Linked DNA regions of Pelodiscus sinensis. The main gene of each other region encodes a partner of the protein of the gene in region 2 in a complex. Links are inferred from orthologs where the notes say so. Each region holds a gene or a part of one and is shown on either strand. Other genes may lie near its edges.

Region 1 (9,373 bases), on a different chromosome or scaffold from region 2:
GCTACACTTAGACAGCAGGGCTATTTCGCGATACCAGAAGTATCTTTAAACGCGCGCATTATTTCAACATGTGTTTTGAAATAATGGGTGTGCTATTCCAGCATCCCTGTAATCCTCATTCCGCAACGTGCATAGATTGCGTAGCGTATTTCGAGGTAAGGGTGCTGTGTAGACACAAAGAGGCTCCATACAGGATCTCTCACTAGAAGAGAGGACAACACCTAATAGAGACTTTTGGTAAAACACCTCCCCCAGCAATGATGTTTTCTAATTTTTTAATGCTTGACTTTGCAACCTAAACAGATTCCTTGTCACGGTTTTATAAAAAAAGAGAGACTAAAAAAACCCCCAGAAAAATAAATTACCTGCAACTAAGCCCTTCCTCACTTCCTCTTTCAAGCCTTGGGGTTTAAACCCATCAGCACAGAGCTCTGCCACTTTAGCTAGATGATTAAGTACATTAGCTGACAGGAGCAGAAAACTCATGGGCTGTATCTAGACTTTTACGGAAAAGGGATGCAAATTAGACATATCGCAATTGCAAATGAAGCAGGGATTTAAATCCCTCCAGCCCCTCTCCCCCCGCTTCATTAGCATAAAAAAGCCTGCCGCTTTTTTCTGGCTCTGAGCTTTGCCGGAAAAAAGCACCAGTCTAGATGCGGATCTTTCGGAAAATAAAGCCTTTTCCAAAAGATCCCTTATCCCTCATTTTAAGATTCCCTTATCCCTCATTTTAAGGGATCTTAAAATGAGGGATAAGGGATCTTTTGGAAAAGGCTTTATTTTCCGAGAGATCCGTGTCTAGACTGGCGCTTTTTTCCGGCAAAGCTCAGAGCCGGAAAAAAGCGTCAGCCATTTTTATGCTAATGAAGCGGGGGGGATTTAAATCCCCACTTCATTTGCAATTGCGATATGTCTAATTTACATCCCTTTTACGGAAAAGGGATGCAGTCTAGACACAGACATGTGGGCTGCCCCACCAGAGAAGGACACATAACCAAGTGTTTTGACACTAGATAGGCATAAGCAGCCCATGTTTCAGTGTTATATATGCACAAACAAAACCATTTAACAAATACAGCCCACAACAAATATTTGTCTCTCTGAGACAGCGAACAGCTAGCAGTTTTCTTGGAATTTGTGGGAGGTCTGCCCCCCCCTTTATTTTTTCTAGAAATACAGTCTAAGAATAAAAGACAACAATGGCTATGAGATAGCATTAGAAGAGAGGAAAAAAAGGTGGTCAGACAGAAGCTACAGTATGTACATTATGCTTGAGTAGGTATCTGACAGAAGCTGTTTATGTGTATGAAATGTCACCAGATACAGCTCATGGGAGAAGATATCCAAGGAACTGAAATGTAACCGGGATGACAGAATTCAGACAGGCATGTCTAGGTATAATGCAGGAGAGGAAAGATGAATCGGTACCAACACCACAAGATCTAAAGATATCTGCTGAACAAAAAGAGCTGGAGAGCAAATTGCCAGAAGAGGATGGTAATCTGTGGAAAAACATCATGAGGACAAGGCAGAAGAAGAAACCACCTAGTGGTAATGAAACTGAGTTGAGGGATACATTTGTTGCACTGGGAACTGACAGAGTGGCAAGGAAGAAAAGAAGGGAAGTTCCCACTGTATCAGAGGCAGCAGTGGAGGGCAGCAGCCAGCTCCTGGGAGCACAACATGAGTGTAACCGTTTACAGTAACCGATAATCCCAGGGTTACCGGTTAACTGTTTAAATGATTATCCTGTTATGCCCCTACTTTCTAATCAAGCTATGAAATAATCTGCAAAGTCTGTGAAAATCAAGTTATTGAGCAAGTATAAACAGTGAACATAAAATAATATTCCCAGTTATAGTTTGCTCCTGTTCATGCACCAGTTGGTTCTCTGAAGTCTAGTAGGAACCTTATCTCAAAATAAATAGGCAAGCTAAGTATACCTCCATGAACCTAGGGTAATGCTAAAAGGACAAAGTGAAGGAAGCAGTACACAAAACTGATTAAGCAGTAAGTTAGAGGAAGCTTGGGAAAAAACTTTAATCTTCCCTATTAAATAAGTAATACTGCAAAAGACACCCAAGCAGGCAGATTTGCTCAAACCTTTCAGATACTGGAAAACTGAAAATAAAAGGAGAATGAGCAGTACAAGAGAATATAACTGCAATAAATAGGATGAAATTAAACAAAGTTCAGTATGAATATCAGAAAGAAAGCTTTTGACACTGCTATTTCAGAAGTCCCCTCTTGTGAGATTTAAAACAAACAGACTGAAGTGCTAGATACCATCCTATGAATCTCAGAGTCTTTTGTTTCTCTAACTTCAATAATTCAGTTTCTCATACTGCCCATCACTTTTTACATAATTAGCCTTATGTGCATGGTATCAAAGTGTTTAAGCTCCTGTACAGATTTTCTTCATGGTTCACTGCAGGAGTGGGAGTAGAAAGAGGATGACTAATAGTTTAATCAAGTATGTTTCTGAAGGGTAAAGATGATCAAGGAGCATCAAGGTGGAAGACCACAACCAAAATTTATCAGAAAAAAAAAAAGGAGGAACAAATATTACGTAATTCTCAAGTAAATAGTTTGAGACCAGCAGTCTAACACTTTTAGTCAGTCACACCATTAATTTCCAACTCACGTCAGATCATTTCCCATTTAAAATCTAAGATTATAACTGATGTACAACCCCACCCCTCCACCCACACACTTTCACAACTGTACCATTTGTGTTTGACAGCACTGTATGCAATTCAGTGTCATAGTTTCCTCTGTACAATCAGTGTCTACTTTTATTTGTTGGGTCGCACAAACAACGAGGGAGTGAAAACTTTTCAAAATAATGTATAGAACGACAGGAGGCACTTTTAAATCCCTTTTAAAGCTGCACTTGAAAAGGAATCCTCTGAACTGTCATTCATGCTAAAATTCGACACTCTATGTGGGGGTCTCAACAAAGACTCTAGCTATCTTACCCATTACAAAGATAGCTTCCCCAATCACCACCTCTAATACCATTAGTTCACAGACATTTACCTTCCCCCACCCCTCTCCATCCACCTTCTGTTCTGAAATTTGATTGTCCTTTTCATAGGTGTTCATTTTTTAAATTGTATCCTTTGGTATATATGGTTGTGACTATTTTCTTCCACTATTTGATCTGAGGAAGTGGGTCTGGCCCACGAAAGCTCATCATCTAATAAACCATCTTGTTAGTCTTTAAAGTGCTACATTGTCCTGTATTTTGCTTCAGGAGGCAACAGAGAATTCCTGTTCAAGTTCTTAAATGTGGGAACACCGGCTTTAGTTTAAAACTATTGAGGTTTCACATGAAGTATTCTTTTTAATAGATTTAACTGCAAAATATTCCAAAATAAGCAACTCACAAATCGAATCTTGGACAGCACAACTAATCTACCACTTCTACCCAACCTCATCTATTGGCCCATTAAGCTCATATTCTGTATGAAACAGCACCCAGAACTACATGCCCCAAAACAAAAATCCTGAGGCTTGACCTGAACAAGCGCCAGAACAAAACTACAGCGAGTCTCTGGTGGCTTCAGGCTCCGGAAAAACGTTTTTACCAAGTTCTCCGACTGTGGGGATCCCCCCGTTAGCAGCGCTCACCCAGGGAGCGACTGGCCAGCGCGACACGCCTCTCTGCCCCAAACCGTGAGCCCTCTGGACCGAAGGGCAGTGGAGCGGGGCGCTCGCAGGCCCCAGGAGGAGGAGACACCCAGCGCGGGCCGAGCCGCTCGCCCCAGCCCCGGGGAGCGCGGAGCCGCCGGGGAAGCCGAGCCCGCGCGGTGCCTGAGGCCGAACGCGGCCAGGCCCCCCAGCAGCGCCCGGCTCCGGCACGCGAGCGCCGCCGCTCAGGATCGGGGCCCCGGCGGCCGAGCACCGCGCGCCGCGGGGCGGGCTGACCTGTGGTGCCGTCTCTTCCGCGGGGCGGGGGGCGGCGCGTCCCGCCGGGGGGCGCTGGGGAAGAGCAGGGAGCGCAGCGCCTCCACCAGCCATTGGTACATAGGCCTCGGCCACCGGAGGCGGAAGTGCGGCTGTTTCGCGCGACGGCGTGACGTCACGGACGGAGCCCTCTCCAGCAGGCGCGGGGCGAATCGGCGCTACCTGCGCGCGGGGACCCGCCCGACCCCTTCCTCATTGGCCAGAGGCTTGTTCGGTCCTGATTGGGGGAGAAAAGGGAGGGGCGGGGACCGAGCGCCGCGCGCGTCTCTGCATCACCTTTGGCGGAGGAGCGCGCGTCTCATGGCGGTGGGCGGGGCGAGCCGGGCTCCGCCCCCGCCAGGCACCGACCCGGCTCCCTGCCACTCGCTAGTGCCACAACCCCCATCAGCACCCCCACACACACACCCCTCCCCCACTGACCAGCACACCACCCGCAACCCCCACACACACCCCTCCCCCACTGACCAGCACACCCCCACACACCCCTCCCCCACTGACCAGCACACCCCCCCACACACCCCTCCCCCACTGACCAGCACCCCCTCCACCCCCACACACCCCTCCCCCACTGACCAGCCCCCTCTACCCCCACACACACCCCTCCCCCACTGACCAGCACCCCCCCAACACCCCTCCCCCACTGACCAGCACCCCCCCAACACCCCTCCCCCACTGACCAGCACCCCCTCCACCCCCACACACCCCTCCCCCACTGACCAGCCCCTCCTCCACCCCCACAAACACCCCTCCTCCCTTGACCAGCACCCCCCCAAACACCCCTCCTCCCGTGACCAGCACACCCACCACAAACACATCCCTCCCTCACAGCACACACACCCCCACTCCTTACCCTGGCAATGCCCTCTCCCACCAACACACCACTTCACACTTTCTCCTCTTCCCCCCCCCCAAAAAAAAGCCACCCCTCTGTTTTCCACCAGCTGTTTCCTCCATCAATTTCAACAGCAAAGATTCATTCCTGGTTTCCAGCTACTGCTCACCTTCAACATTTTACCTTCTAGTGCTGGAGTGCTGCCCATTGCTTGGGTTCATGCCTCACCCTCCCTAGCATGTTTGTTATTTACAGAGCTCATGGTGGTTCCACACCTGAGCAATACACACAAATTGTTGATGGGCACCATACCAGAAGGTACTTGGTAAAGTCTTCAGTTTTGTGACTAAGCAGGACAAAAAATGTTAAACACTTCAGAAATGACCTGAGGAAGAGCTGTGTGTGAGATCCTAACCTCATCTCCCTCTGCCAAGCAAACATTGGTCCAAGAAAAGATTACCTCACTCAACTCACAATTTCAAAAATTAGTTTTGAAGCCCATTTCAAAAGCTATGTAAAATGTGTTCACCTTTTCAAAACAACTTCTACTATTCAATTAGGCATAGCCCTCAAAATCTGAAAGTACAAGTTCTTTTCATTATATGGACGTGGGGCGGGCCAAAAATAAAAATAAAATACCTTTTCTGAACATTACAAATTTACCCATGGATGGGCTGTTGCTTCTCTGTTTTCCTGAGACCTTTAGAGGTGCTTAAGTAACAAGGCTTCTCTATCGCACAGCTGACATGACGGACAAGAGGTGCAGCAAGAGTCCCTGTGCGTCATCAGTCTACTTTGCAATATACAAGCAGCTAATTTAGCAGTTCTCCACTACAGGGTGTAGCATACCAGTGATGCGTACAATCAGGTCTCCTGCTCATGGCTGAGCAATGGAATATACTAGCCTTAAGGAGTGATCTTTCAGCCTGATCTGGTAAGCGCCTGACACTTTCTGTATGAAAAGTGGACAAGAGCTGGTATGCAGCAGGACAGAGAGGTCTGGCAAGGAGAGATGCATTTTTCTGTCCTTAGGAATATCCATTCCGATTTGTGACAAGTTCTACACTGCTGAAGATTGTAACTTACCATCACAGCTCTCTGTCACCATATTAAAATACCTCAACGCCATTGATCTTCCTGTCTGTATTGCCCTAACGTCTCACTTCATTGGATCACAGAATTCATATGCCCAATAAGAGAATGGACGATGATCCTGGTGTTGCTTCCCTATTAAAACAGCCTTTGGCGTAGGAGGATGTGCATCATATTGGAAGGCAGGCATGCATGTGTTCCAATTTCATTTCCACTGACTGTTGATAAGTGGCTCTCCTTCCCAGTTGTTACTAAACATATCCCTCAAAGAGATTACCTAAGCTGGAGATAGAACCCAGGAATATGAATACAGCCAACCCAAATTTCCTCTCAGAAAGCACAGGGCATATCTTTTTCCTTAACTGTGCAGTCTGTAAATTGGGGTTATTCATGCTTACATAACACACTGAAACAGCTGATTATGCATCCTCCTCTAATGCAGGCTCACATAAGAACAGCCTCCTGCTCCCAGCCAGCAAAACCTGGTAGCCCAAGGAACAGCCATCAACGTTAACAGGTGTGGCTCCAAACCAACATGCTGGGGGTGGTGGGATTACAGTTGCACTTAATGGATTTTTTTTACCTTTTCACTGCAAGAAAAGCCAAGGCATTACATTGACAAGCTGCATTAAAAGAACTTAGGAAGGTTCACAGGGGTAGCTGTGTTAGTCTGTAACAGAAAAAAAAATTAAAAACCAACAAATGGTTGTAAAGTCACTCACTCAAGCTAGGAAATGCTCATGAAATATTGCTAATGACCCACAGAACTTTTCCCCTGTAGGACACCAATTTGAATCTAGCCCAGTTCAGGAGGGATTATAAAATGTTCTCCTCAACTGGCTGTTTGCTGGCCAGAGATGAAGGGAGATCCTGCAGCATAGAACCCTCCCTGCCACCCACACATACATTTCCCACCACTTGACCGATACAGCAGAGAGGCCATGAAGAGTAGATGACCCCAGCCATCATAATGTAAGCCCTTTCCCATACCTACCAAGGGGAAGAAAGATGAAATTCTCTGGCAGGGTCACAGCTGCTGCAAGCTTGCCCTACATTACCCCACTGTTGATATTACAAATGTGTGGTTCTACACAAATCAGTTCCTTACATAGTTTGCATGGAGCATCACCCAAGAGACCCTGTAAGTTTGGCAGCTGAGTCACCACGCCTGGCTTCTGCTCTGCTCAGCCACCTTACTTCCCACCCCTGCAATTACTCACAGCACCTGCTTCCAAACTCACTTCTACAGAAGGCCTGTGGCCAAGGCTCCTCCCAAGCAGCTGAACCTCTTATAAAGCCTCTCCTCCCTCCCTCCAAAGTAGCAGCCTCTATTCCCTTTCAATCAGCTGTGTTCACCATCCAGCAGCCAGGCAGCCTTAATTCAGTTAATCCCTTCTTTTCCAGCTTTCAAATCCCTGCTCATGGGAAGCGGGGAGTGCCAGGCGATACGGACAACCTCTGACAGGCTTTTGATCTCATTTCCTCAGTGCTGTTATTGTCTTTTCAGTCAGCCATGTCAGGTGAAGCCCCTATTGACCTTTGAACCTGACCAAGCCAACTGAAAAGTCAGCAAACTGAAGGGCTAAAATAAGAGGCCAAAAAATATAAACAACTATAAGGTTAAAAACCTCAGGAACAAATATTGCTCAGTCACTCAGGACACGCAGATTTTCCCCTTGTTCAGGACTCTGCTCTGAATATTCTCTGCTTAGCTCCTATCCTCTGCATAGCCTGCCCCAAAAGTTCAAACTCCTAAGGGTTACGTCTACACTGGCAGCTTCTTGCACAAGAACTGTTATGTTGAAGAGTTCTTGTGCAAAAAGTCTTCCACAAGAGCATGTCTACACTGGCATGTGCTTTTGCACAAGAGCATCTATGGCAGTGTGGACATTCTCTTGCGCAAGAAAGCTCTGATGGCCATTTTAGCCACAGGGGTTTCTTGCGCAAGAAATTCATGTTGCCTGTCTACACTGCCCTCTTGCGCAAGAGGGCTTATTCCTCGTGGGGAGAGGAATAACTCTTCCAGAAGAAGCCCTGTTTTCTGACTCGAGTCTGTAAATTTACTTGCACAAGAACGCACGTGCAGTGTAGACACCCAGCAAGTTTTTGCACAAGAACAGCTGTTCTTGTGCAAGAAGCCACCAGTGTAGACGTAGCCCTACACTCAGGGTACGTCGAGACTACATGGCTCCGTCGATGGAGCCATGTAGATTTGTTTGTTCGGCAAAGGGAAATGAAGCCGCGATTTAAATAATCGCGGCTTCATTTAAATTTAAATGGCTGCCCTGCTCTGCCGATCAGCTGCTTGTCGGCAGATCGGGGCAGTCTGGACGCTCCCCTGCCGACATGAAAGCCCTTTATCAACCTCCCCAGTAAATCTCATCCTACGAGGCATAATGGGGAGGTCGATAAAGGGCTTTCAGGTTGGCGCGGGAGCGTCCAGACTAGCGTGCTGAGCCGACAAACAGCTGATCAGCTGTTTGTCGGCTCAGCACGGCAGCCATTTAAATTTAAATGAAGCCACGATTATTTAAATCGCGGCTTCATTTCCCTCTGCCGATCAGCCTAATCTACATGGCTCCATCGACGGAGCCATGTAGTTTAGACACACCCTCAGAGCCCCTCATTAATCACAACATTGACCCTCAAAGCCAGACCTGGATTTACAAAGATTAAAGTGTGGTCTTAAGTCTGTCTTTTCCTTTTCGAACTTCATTTCCCCCTGAGCGTGTGTCCGAGACAGTGTCATGCTGCCTGCTCTCCTTTGAGTGCGTGTGATAGTTGTCATGCTGCCAGCTCTCTCAGGCATTCTGCCTCCTGTGGAGGCTCTCGCTCCTACCCCCTGGCCCGGAGCTTCCATCTTCTCCCCCAAACCCTGACATTCTAATTCATTAATTCTGTGTCTTGCCCTCAGCCCACACGTCTGTGCCTTCTGCAGCTCCATGTCATTCACCTAGAGTGACCAGACGTGTGAAAAATCAAGACTGAAGTGGAGTGGGGATCCTTTGGGGGGTCTGCCCCTCCGTTTTATAGTCCTCTCCTTCCTTTCAGAAGCATCTCTAGCTGGGACAGTGGCGATAGATAGACTGTGAAGATGGAAATATCATGCTGTTCCCTTGTTAAGATGTCAATTTTTTTCACTCACGTCCCTTTTCCTGCCAATGAATAGCCACTTTGCAGGTTATGGCCCATTTGATCTTGTTTACACCTGGCTGAGTTGCAGGTTGCTCTTATCTCTGAGGAACTGCTTTGCCTCTCCCCAGGCTTGGAACATAGCACCATACAGTGGAATTCATAACTTTACATACAACGGTGCTGCATATATTTGACCAGGACAATAACGATCATCAGATTGTGAGTTTTCACATGATACCTCCCAAGGCAAACCTTGTTGTGATCGGGGTCCCTGAGCAGTCATTCTTAGGTTATTCAATTAGGGCAAACTGTAAAGAATGGATCAGGCAATCTCCCAGAGCT
Region 2 (9,205 bases):
ATTAGCATGCTGTAAATATGTATGTATGTATAAAGGTCTCTACAAAGGGAACAAAGGTGGATCTTAATGGGCTGTAGGATGTAATTAAAGTCATCCACTAATGTGCACAACTTTTTAATAGAACTATTGAATTTCAATGTCACAAGAGGCACTGGAAATATTGTAATATGTTACACAATCATGAAACAGCATGTTTAGCTGGCTCTTATAATTGCAGCACAGGCAACATGAAACATAAGTATGTACTTTGATTTAACTATCAGGAATCCAACACAATCTTGAAAACACTCATTTTTAAAATAAGTGAAAACATTTTCTTTACTAAACATGGAGATAACATTTTAATGCATACAAGTTAAGCACGTTAATATTGTACTATTTCAAGAAAACTTGGACCACAAGGGCAGATTGAATTAATGTCTTATTTGGTCATTTACTGTGACATACAGGCAGTCCCCAAGTTACGCGGATCCGACTTATGTCGGATCCGCAGATACAAACAGGGATTTTCTCGCCCCGGAGGACTGGAGCGGCGGGACGCCTGGTCCCGCCGCCCGCCTCCTCCGGGGCGAGAAAAGCTGCTCCCCATCTCCCTGGTCTGCTGCAGGAGCCAGCAGACCAGGGAGACGGGGAGCAAAGCGGCGCAGGACCCGGGGCCAGACCCGCAGCGCTTCCAGCTGATCTGGAAGCGGCCGCGGGTCCGGCCCCGGGTCCTCCGCCGCTTTGCTCAGCGTCTCCCTGGTCTGCAGCCGAGGAGCAGCTGCGCTACTGGACCAACCCAGCAGCACCCGAGCTGCTCTGCCCCAGGCGTCCCCAAGTTAGCCGCTGCTGAAACTGACCAGCGGCTGACTACAGGAAGCCCGAGGCAGAGTTGCTCTGCCCCGGGCTTCCTGGAATCAGCTGCTGATCAGTTGCAGCAGCAGCTGACTTGGGGACCCTGGGGTTCTTAAGTTGAATCTGTATGTAAGTCAGAACTGGTGTCCAGATTCAGCGGCTGAATCTGGATGCCAGTTCCGACTTACATACAGATTCAACTTAAGAACAAACCTACAGTCCCTATCTTGTACGTAACCCGGGGACTGCCTGTATTACATATTTGTTAATACTGGCCTTAAAACACTGAGGAACAGGTGCCTCCACACAATCTTGTTCCAGTGCTCTACATTTGCTATAAAAACAAGTCATTGCTGATTTACATACCGGCTGCGTCTAGACTGGCAAGTTTTTCTGCAAAAGCAGAAAACTTGCCAGCTGTCTACACTGGCCGCTTGAATTTCTGCAAGAACACCGACGATCTCATGTAAGATTGTCAGTGTTCTTGTGGAAATACTATGCTGCTCCCATTTGGGCAAAAGCCCTCTTGCGTAAATGCTTTTGACAGCAACTATAGCACCAGATCCTTGTTCTCCTATTTCCAAAGCACTCTATTTGGAAGAGGAAGTACTAGATTTGGGCAGTGGGTCTGTTTCCAAACTAGTGCTTAATAACAATCTCTATGTGGAAGAAAAGAGCGCCATCTGTTGGAAGTACAGGAGCTTCAGGGGGTAGCCGAGTTTGTCTGTTACAGAAAAAAAACAGCAAGCAAATGGTCTGGGAGCACTCTATAGACTAACAAAACATGTAGATGGTATCATGAGCTTCTGTGGGCACAGCCCACTTCTTCAGATGACCAGAGTTATGATTAGAGGATAAGGAAACTCAAAATAAATAGGAGAAGGGAAGGGGGGGGGGGGAAAGATGTTCTGTTGCCCACCCTCCTACCTCTGTGCATAAAGTATAGGGAGAAAGGGTGCTAAACCTGAGTAGATAAAGATCAATGTCTGTGGATAGATAAGGCAGGAAGGATACCATTCAGAAAGTAGTTAGCACCTTCATTGATAAAGTATAGTTACTGATAACCACAAGTACGTGAACAAAATGACATGTGCTTTGTCAGTGGTGACCTCTGGCAAGCTATACATCTTACAAAGAAACCTGTACTTTTAATCTTTTCTGAGTCCAGCTCACTCTGTCCAATGTGTGTTAAAGCCATGTAATCTTTTTGCTTGGTCCAGCAATAAAAGAGGTAGCATCACACCCACTCAGGGCATGAGATGGGAGCAGAGTTTCCAAAAGTGGCCCCATATTGTAGTTGCTCACACACAAATGGCATGACTAGGAAAGTACTTTGGTTCCTTTGATGTGCTAGTTTTCATCCAAAGTTGTCTATATGCCATTTTGCTATAGCGAGCCAGCAAAAGATTAAGCACATCAGAGCTCCTGACTTTAGCAACCACACTGATGGCATTCACCATGGAGACATTGTAAAATAATTCTTATGTCTGTTTCTTCCTGATGAGTACACAGCTGGTGGGGGTCAACTATTGCTGTCCAGCACCAGACTTCAGCTTCAGCCTGAAAACCACAAGTCAGAACAAAGATTTTATCTGGTGGTGCTTGTGTAATTAGTCGCTCAGATAAAAATATTGCAAGGTTTTCCTTACAGTTTCTCCCAATAGGGATAATTTTGGGTGGGCAATGGACACCAGCTGTCAGTATTGTTTTTGTGCTTGTTCTCAGACTGCCATTTCTCTATCCTAATGCCAAAAGGACAAGCATTAAATCATCTTTCAAAATTCGTTGCAAATTCACAGCCCAGATGGCTTCATACACTGTGATTAGTCACTGAAGAATATATTTCTGCCTCTCCTTCATGGTTGAGGCCTTTCCTTTGACCTCTTTCTCTGCCTCAAATATCATGGAAAAAGTTGCAGCATTATTCTTTGGCACTGGATCATGAACATATACACATCCAGGCTCCCCTTCTTGTGTCATAATCAGAGCTCCCTGTAAGCTATGTGCTTATGTGATTGCTCAGGAGAGATTCAAATGCTGCTCAGCTGAACAGCAGATCCACAGAGCTAGGCTACATCTACACTGCAGGCTTCTTGCGCAAGAACTGTTTTGCGCAAGAGTGTCCATTTTTGCACCAAAAATTAAAAATCCTGTGCCAAAAAATAAAAATTCGACATACAATATTTTAAAATTCTCCAAATTGTATTTGTTAAAATAACACCATATAATTATGCCAGTTTCAATTATTTGGTAATTTATTTCAAAATATCTGTCAGCAAATATGTCTCTAATAATATGGACAAAAAAAAGGATTTTTTCAAACAAATAGATTCCTGAAATTCCTAGGCAAATTAATAAGGAACTTCAAGTAATTCATTTAAGCTACAATATAGAAAGGTATTTCCCACACCCCTCAGAAGCAATCTAAAGGCTTTGCGGAATCATAAGTAGCATAGGAGGTGAGGGAGATGGAAGGAGCCTGGGAGTGAACTTGGAGGGTTATTGGTGTGGATGGAAGAAGTATAAAACTGTTTTTTTGGGGGAAAGTATGTTAGGGAGAATCCCACATGCAGATGCTGACTGACCCCATCCCATTCAATCAGGCACATCTGCCCCATTCCTCCCCCAGTTCCCATGCATCCCTACAGTCCCATCACCCCCATCCTCATCTGTCCTGGCAGTCCTCTACCTCCAGTCACCATGTAACCCTACAGTCCCTTGCTAATCAACTCCTAACTCAATGTTGTCACCCCATAAGCACCTATGCCCTTGCCCCAGTCTGTGATTTCTCTCTCCCCCCATATTCTGTGTTTCCTAATCTGTCTCCATGAGCAGGATGGTGTAATGAATGTAGCAGGGCACGCCCACTAGTGCAGAATTCCTCCAGGAGTACACCATTCAGTTTTGCCAGATGGACTCAATCCTGTCAATGGCTTTTCTGTACTTGACATCTTGTAGTTTCTTTCTTTTACACAATCCTTGTTCACCTATTTCATGCACATATTATTTACTTCAAATACTTCACAAATAACAGAGACTGTAGAAAACCAGTAGATATCTCTTGAGCCTTACTACTGGTTCCATATCTACTTACAACCATAATCAATAAGTATCATAACACATCACCTCATCTAACCACTCTTTCTTGATGTCTTTGTAAAAAAAATGCCATTAGTATAATTTCTGTGTTAATTCTATTTTAACAACAAACCATTGCATGCTATAAAACAAATATAAAGTGTGCACAGAAGTGAGAAAATGCTTTCACATATTACAAGAAAAATAATCTGATTTACTTATAACATTGTATGAACAAATACTATCAAAAGTTGAGCATCAGGGTGTAGTAAGTCTTAAAACCAGTCTGACTTCTCATTTCTGTTCTTTATAGACTGATAAGAGAGTATGTCATGTTGAAGTTGCCATGTCAGTCCCACGATATTAGAGAGATAAGGTAAGTGAGGTAATAATGTCTTTTACTAGACCAACTCCAGTTGGTGAGAGAAATAAGCTTTTGAGCTACATACACAGAGCTCTTCTTCAGATCTGAGGAAGTGGGTCTGGCCCACGAAAGCTCATCATCTAATAAACCATCTTGTTAGTCTTTAAAGTGCTACATAGTCCTGTATTTTGTTTCAGCTACACCAGACTAACACGGCTACATTTCTATCACTGTGTTCACTTGAACACTTCTCTCTTTTAACAACAGACATTGGTCTGTTAGTGAGTCACACTCATCTCTCTAATGACTTACATCAAAGCATTTAATTGCATCCCAACACGTCCATGCACATGCTGTGTGTGTACCAAATGTTTCTGGTAAACTTTGACAGTCGCATGGAGCTGCAGGACTTGCAAGTTCAAAGCTTGGCAACCATCCCAGCTGTGGAACCGGCAGGTTCAAACGAGAATGGAAATAGCTGCTACCCACTCTGAACGAAAACCGCAACAAAACTCCTAGTGACGCACAGCCAGGTACCCACCAGGCCTCTGACCTCCGATTCTGCCTCGCCTGCCCGCCCTCTCCCTTTTAATAGCCGGCGCTGCGCGAGGCATCCTGGGAACGATAGTCCACGCCGCGTTCTTCTCTTGTGGAACTACAATTCCCGGCCTGCTCCACGGCACAGCGAGCCCCCAGCGCAATGCATCACGGGGCTCGTAGTCTTCTCTGCCGCGCATCAAACCTCACCAGGGTCTCCAAGGAAACCACAATTCCCAGCATGCCGCACGGGGAAGAACTGTCGCCTACGCCACCGCGACGGGCGGGCGAGAGGCCTCGCGAGCCAATCAGAGCCGGGAAAACAAAACTGCCGGGTTTGAAATCCTCCGCCTCCCCCTGCGCCATCGGCCTCGGCGTGACAGGCTGGAGCCGGGCGCGTCCGACCCACACCCGACGGCAGCGCGCGCAGGTGAGCGGGCCCAGGGGCCGCGCGGCTTGTTTACTGTAGGGTCGCCAGGAAGTTGGCGGGGTCGGGGAGCGGGATCCTGACGCTTCTCCAGCCCGGTGTGCGCGGGGCCCCTCCTGGCGCAGCGCCCCGGCGGGGTTTCCCAGCGCCTGTGCGGGGGCGTCCCCTCCTGGCTGCCCCCCGACTCGGGGGCGGGGTGGGGGGTGCCCCGGGCGTCTGGTCCTGCGCCCCCTGCCCGCCGCGCCACGCGCTCCGGGAGCCGAGTCCCGCCCGGTTGCTGCGTGGCCCGGCCCAAGCCGCGCTGCTCTTGTGGCTGCCGCTTCCCCTGGGCTCGGCCGCCGGGCCGGGCGGGTGAGTGACTCTGTGCTGCGCAGCCAGGCTTGTTGCATCACTGAGGCTCGCTGGGGCAGCCTCACCTGGCGCGTCGCGCCCTGAGTACATCGCCAGGGAGCCGTAACCGCAGAGAGCAGCCGCGGAAGTCGGGGGGAGGGCGGTCGGAGTGTGTCACCGAGCAAGCAGCTGGGCAAACAGCTTCCTGTGGTGCTGTAGCCTTGTGGGTCCCAGGATATTAGAGAGACGGAGGAGTGTGTGTGTGTGGTAATAGCTATTATCAGATCATCTATTAGTGTGGCTATCTCTGCACTACAGATTGCTTCAGTATAACTTATGTCATTCTGGGGTGAGTGTGATGGGTTGGGCAACCCTCCACCTTGGGTCTGTCGCCTGAGGTGCTGAGACATCACAAAGCCTGTTTTCCCTTACAGCTGTGAGCCTATGTTGTTGAGCCTGTCTCTTCAGCCTGTTGCAGCACAGGGACAGAGCCACCCCCCCCCCCCCCCCAAATCTGCAGACTCAGGAAGCAGTCCAATGTGAGACCATTCCCAGCACTAGGGATGTAAGTGACTAGTCAGCTACCCGATAAGCATATGCTTATTGGGAAGTAGAGTAGTGATGTGAACCTGTAGTTGCTGTAATGTAGACATATCCTGAGAGAGAAAAACTTCTGAGATCACTTAGGCCACTCATTAGTCAAAACTGAGCTAAGAATTAGGGATGTAGAGGGTTAATCAATTACCTGGCAAGCATTGCCCTACCGGTATATTTACCGGGGTAACCAGTTGACTGGCCAGAGCAGCCCCTGCCCACGGCGCACCAGGCTGGGGCCTGGCTAGGCTGAAGCAGCCTCATGATGCAGTGTAGCAGGCCATCCGAGGGGCTGCTCAAGTGTCCCCCTCTTTCTCCAACCCACCCCCCCCGCCTGCAACATATAGTCAACCAGTTAACATATAGTTTAATTGGTTAACATTTTAAATGGGATTTTACAGCCCTACTAAGAATCCACAAAAGCCTCGTGTGCAATTACCAAATGAAGAAGAATTATCTAATATAGTATGAAACATATTCAAGCAAGATCAGAAGACTGAGTCAATCAAAGTAGGGGTGTAATAGTACAGGCAGTCCCCGGGTTACGCGGCTCCGACTTATGTCGGATCTGTACTTACGAACGGGGCTTTTCTCGCCCCGGAGGGCGCGGGCGGCGGGACTGCCCAGACGCGCCTCGGTCCCACTGCCTGCGTCTCCCTGGTCTGCTGGGGGGGGGATGCAGCTAGTGCGCCCTCCCCCCCCCCCCAGCAGAGCAGGCTTTTCTTGCGGACGCCTGTGGTAGAGCAGCTGGGGCCCTGCTGGTTGGTCCCGCAGCGCCGCTCCTCGGCGCTACTGGACCAATCCAGCAGCACCCCAGCTGCTCTGCCCCAGGCGTCCCCAAGTCAGCCGCTGCTGAAACTGACCAGCAGCGGCTGACTACAGGAAGCCAGAGGCAGAGTTGCTTTGCCCTGGGCTTCCTGGAATCAGCTGCTGATCAGTTTCAGCAGCAGCTGACTTGGGGACACCTGGGGTAGAGCAGCTGGGGTGCTGCCGGTTTGGTCCCCGCAGCGCCGAGGTGCGGCGCTGCAGGGACCTACCCGGCAGCGCCCCAGTTGCTCTGTCCGAGGCATCCAGATTCAGCTGCTGTTGAAACTGATCAGTGGCTGATTCCAGGAAGCCCGGGGCAGAGAAACTGTGCCTCAGGCTTCCTGTAGTCAGCTGCTGGTCAGTTTCAGCAGTGGCTGAATCTGGACGCCAGTTCCGACTTATGTACAAATTCAACTTAAGAACAAACCTACATCCCTATCTTGTTCGTAACCTGGGGACTGCCTGTATGGTCGATTAACCAATAAGCAAAAGCTTATAGGTTAATGCTATAGACTACATGCGTTTCCCTCCCCCCACACTTACCAGTACATGTTTTAGCAGACTTACCAGCAGCTCAGCTCAGTTCTGGCTCACACCGGGTCCAGTACCTGCTCCTGCTGCGGTTCTTTATTTGAAGTGTATTAGGAGCCAGGCAAGCAAGCAGCCTGGTTCAGTTCCATCTTGTGCTGAGTCCAGGAACTCAGACCCACCTTAGACAGGGGTTGCTGCCACCCCACGCTGCTGCCTCTTTATTAGAGGCAGCAGCACTGGACAACAGGCAGCTGGACTTCAAGGTGAACTGGTTTTTAAACTGGCTCCCCTCATGGACCAGCTCCTGCCTGACACCCTGCACTGCTGCCTCTGATACAGTGACTGCCAGCCCCACCCCTGGGGACTATAGAATAATCAACTAACCAATAAGAATTCATGAGGTTACTCAACTATTCAATTAACCAATATTTAACATCCCTAAATCCAAGAGAATCTTAGACTATTCCACTGCCTGACGTGGTAAATTTTGCACAGTCCATCAGGAAAAAAGGTGGAAAATCGCCACGTTGCTTGTTACAGTTACAGCTAGACTGGATAAGTACCAGAGATGTGATAATGTAAATATGTAAAAGCCTGGGTTTATCAGTAAAACTTCACGATTACACATAACCCTCCCCGGGTGCTGCTTCTGTATCCGTCGAGCCGTCCTTCCCCTCCCTGGTATAAATGTGTACCCATACACATTTACCAAAATAAATACATTTTAACTTCCCTAGTAAATAATAATGTACAATGTAGTTGCTTTTGTATTCTGCACCCATGTAGTCTCTGTGATAGGTATTCAGCAACTAAATCTGATAGTAAAACGATGCTGATACGTGAGTACCGGGTGGGTTGCAAGGGAAAAGGAAAAAAAAATGTGTTTAACTCTGGCTCAGAGGAAGAGCAACTCATAGGATTGGACAATGGCTTGTGTTGAAAAGCCATGGTTTTTGGGGAGAAAGGAATACTGTATTGTAAACAGAGTAATGTCTTAAGGCAGCGTTTCCCAAACTATGGTCCGCGGCCCGAAAAAAATGCCGGGCCTCAGCGTGCCTGGTGGCTGCTGGCCCTTAGGCTGATTGACCCATCTGGTTGAATCGGGCCCCGCGCCCCTGCACCCGGAAGTGCCGGCGAGTTAAGAGCCGGGCCCTGCTCCAGCGCTATGTGGAGCTGGGTCTCTCCCCGGCTCTGCCTGGAGCGGGCCCCGCCCCTGCGCGTCCTCTCCGGCCCCGCCCCCAGAGCGTCCCATTGGCCCCGGATGTCTCTGCCGCGCGCGGCTCCTCCTTGCCGCCCATGCGCGGCGTTGCACGTGGGTGGGGAGGACGTGACGTCACGGCCCGGGGTTTTGAAACCCGCGCGAGGCATGTGGTGGGGCCTGGCTGGCTCCGGGTTTGGCCTCCGGGGTCTGAGCGCGGACCCTGGCCCTGCAATGGGGAAAGAGAAGGTGGGAACCGGCTCGTGCGGCGGCGAGGAAAGGAGAGGGGTGGGGAAAGGGGTGAAAGGAGAAGGGGCTTGGGAGGGAAAGGCACCAAGGGACAGGGGTGTGGGAGAGAGAGACAAATGCCAGGGGGCCAAGTGCAGACCATGAGGGAAAGGGCAGGAGGGGAGGTGTCAGTGGGAGAGGGGACAGGGTGATGCTGGGAGAAGAGAGAAGAGGGTCCCCGTGTCAAAAAGTTTGGGAACCCCTGTCTTAAGGGATG

Evidence for each region.
Region 1: the proteins of RANGAP1 (region 2) and SENP2 are in contact, whole or in part, in a crystal structure (PDB 2IO3), measured with the Homo sapiens proteins. The link is inferred for Pelodiscus sinensis from reciprocal best matches to the Homo sapiens genes RANGAP1 and SENP2. Residues at the interface, in NP_001265580.1 of Homo sapiens: Glu467, Asn508, Thr511, Thr514, Arg515, Val518, His519, Leu523, Lys524, Ser525, Glu526, Asp527, Val529; in NP_067640.2 of Homo sapiens: Tyr408, His409, Trp410, Val477, His478, Asp495, Met497, Gly498, Gln499, Lys500, Pro536, His537, Gln541, Gln542, Asn544, Gly545.

Annotation. Positions count from the first base shown.
Region 1 is NC_134720.1:3,562,556-3,571,928, forward strand, and holds the start of SENP2 (sentrin-specific protease 2), read right to left. Parts: upstream 4,093-9,373; 5' UTR 4,035-4,092; coding exon 3,934-4,034; intron 3,880-3,933; exon of another isoform or gene 3,637-3,879; intron 1-3,636. UniProt on the Homo sapiens protein: Protease that catalyzes two essential functions in the SUMO pathway.
Region 2 is NC_134711.1:89,277,935-89,287,139, forward strand, and holds the start of RANGAP1 (ran GTPase-activating protein 1), read left to right. Parts: upstream 1-5,107; 5' UTR 5,108-5,243; intron 5,244-5,897; exon of another isoform or gene 5,898-5,919; intron 5,920-6,004; exon of another isoform or gene 6,005-6,135; intron 6,136-9,205. UniProt on the Homo sapiens protein: GTPase activator for RAN. Converts cytoplasmic GTP-bound RAN to GDP-bound RAN, which is essential for RAN-mediated nuclear import and export. Mediates dissociation of cargo from nuclear export complexes containing XPO1, RAN and RANBP2 after nuclear export.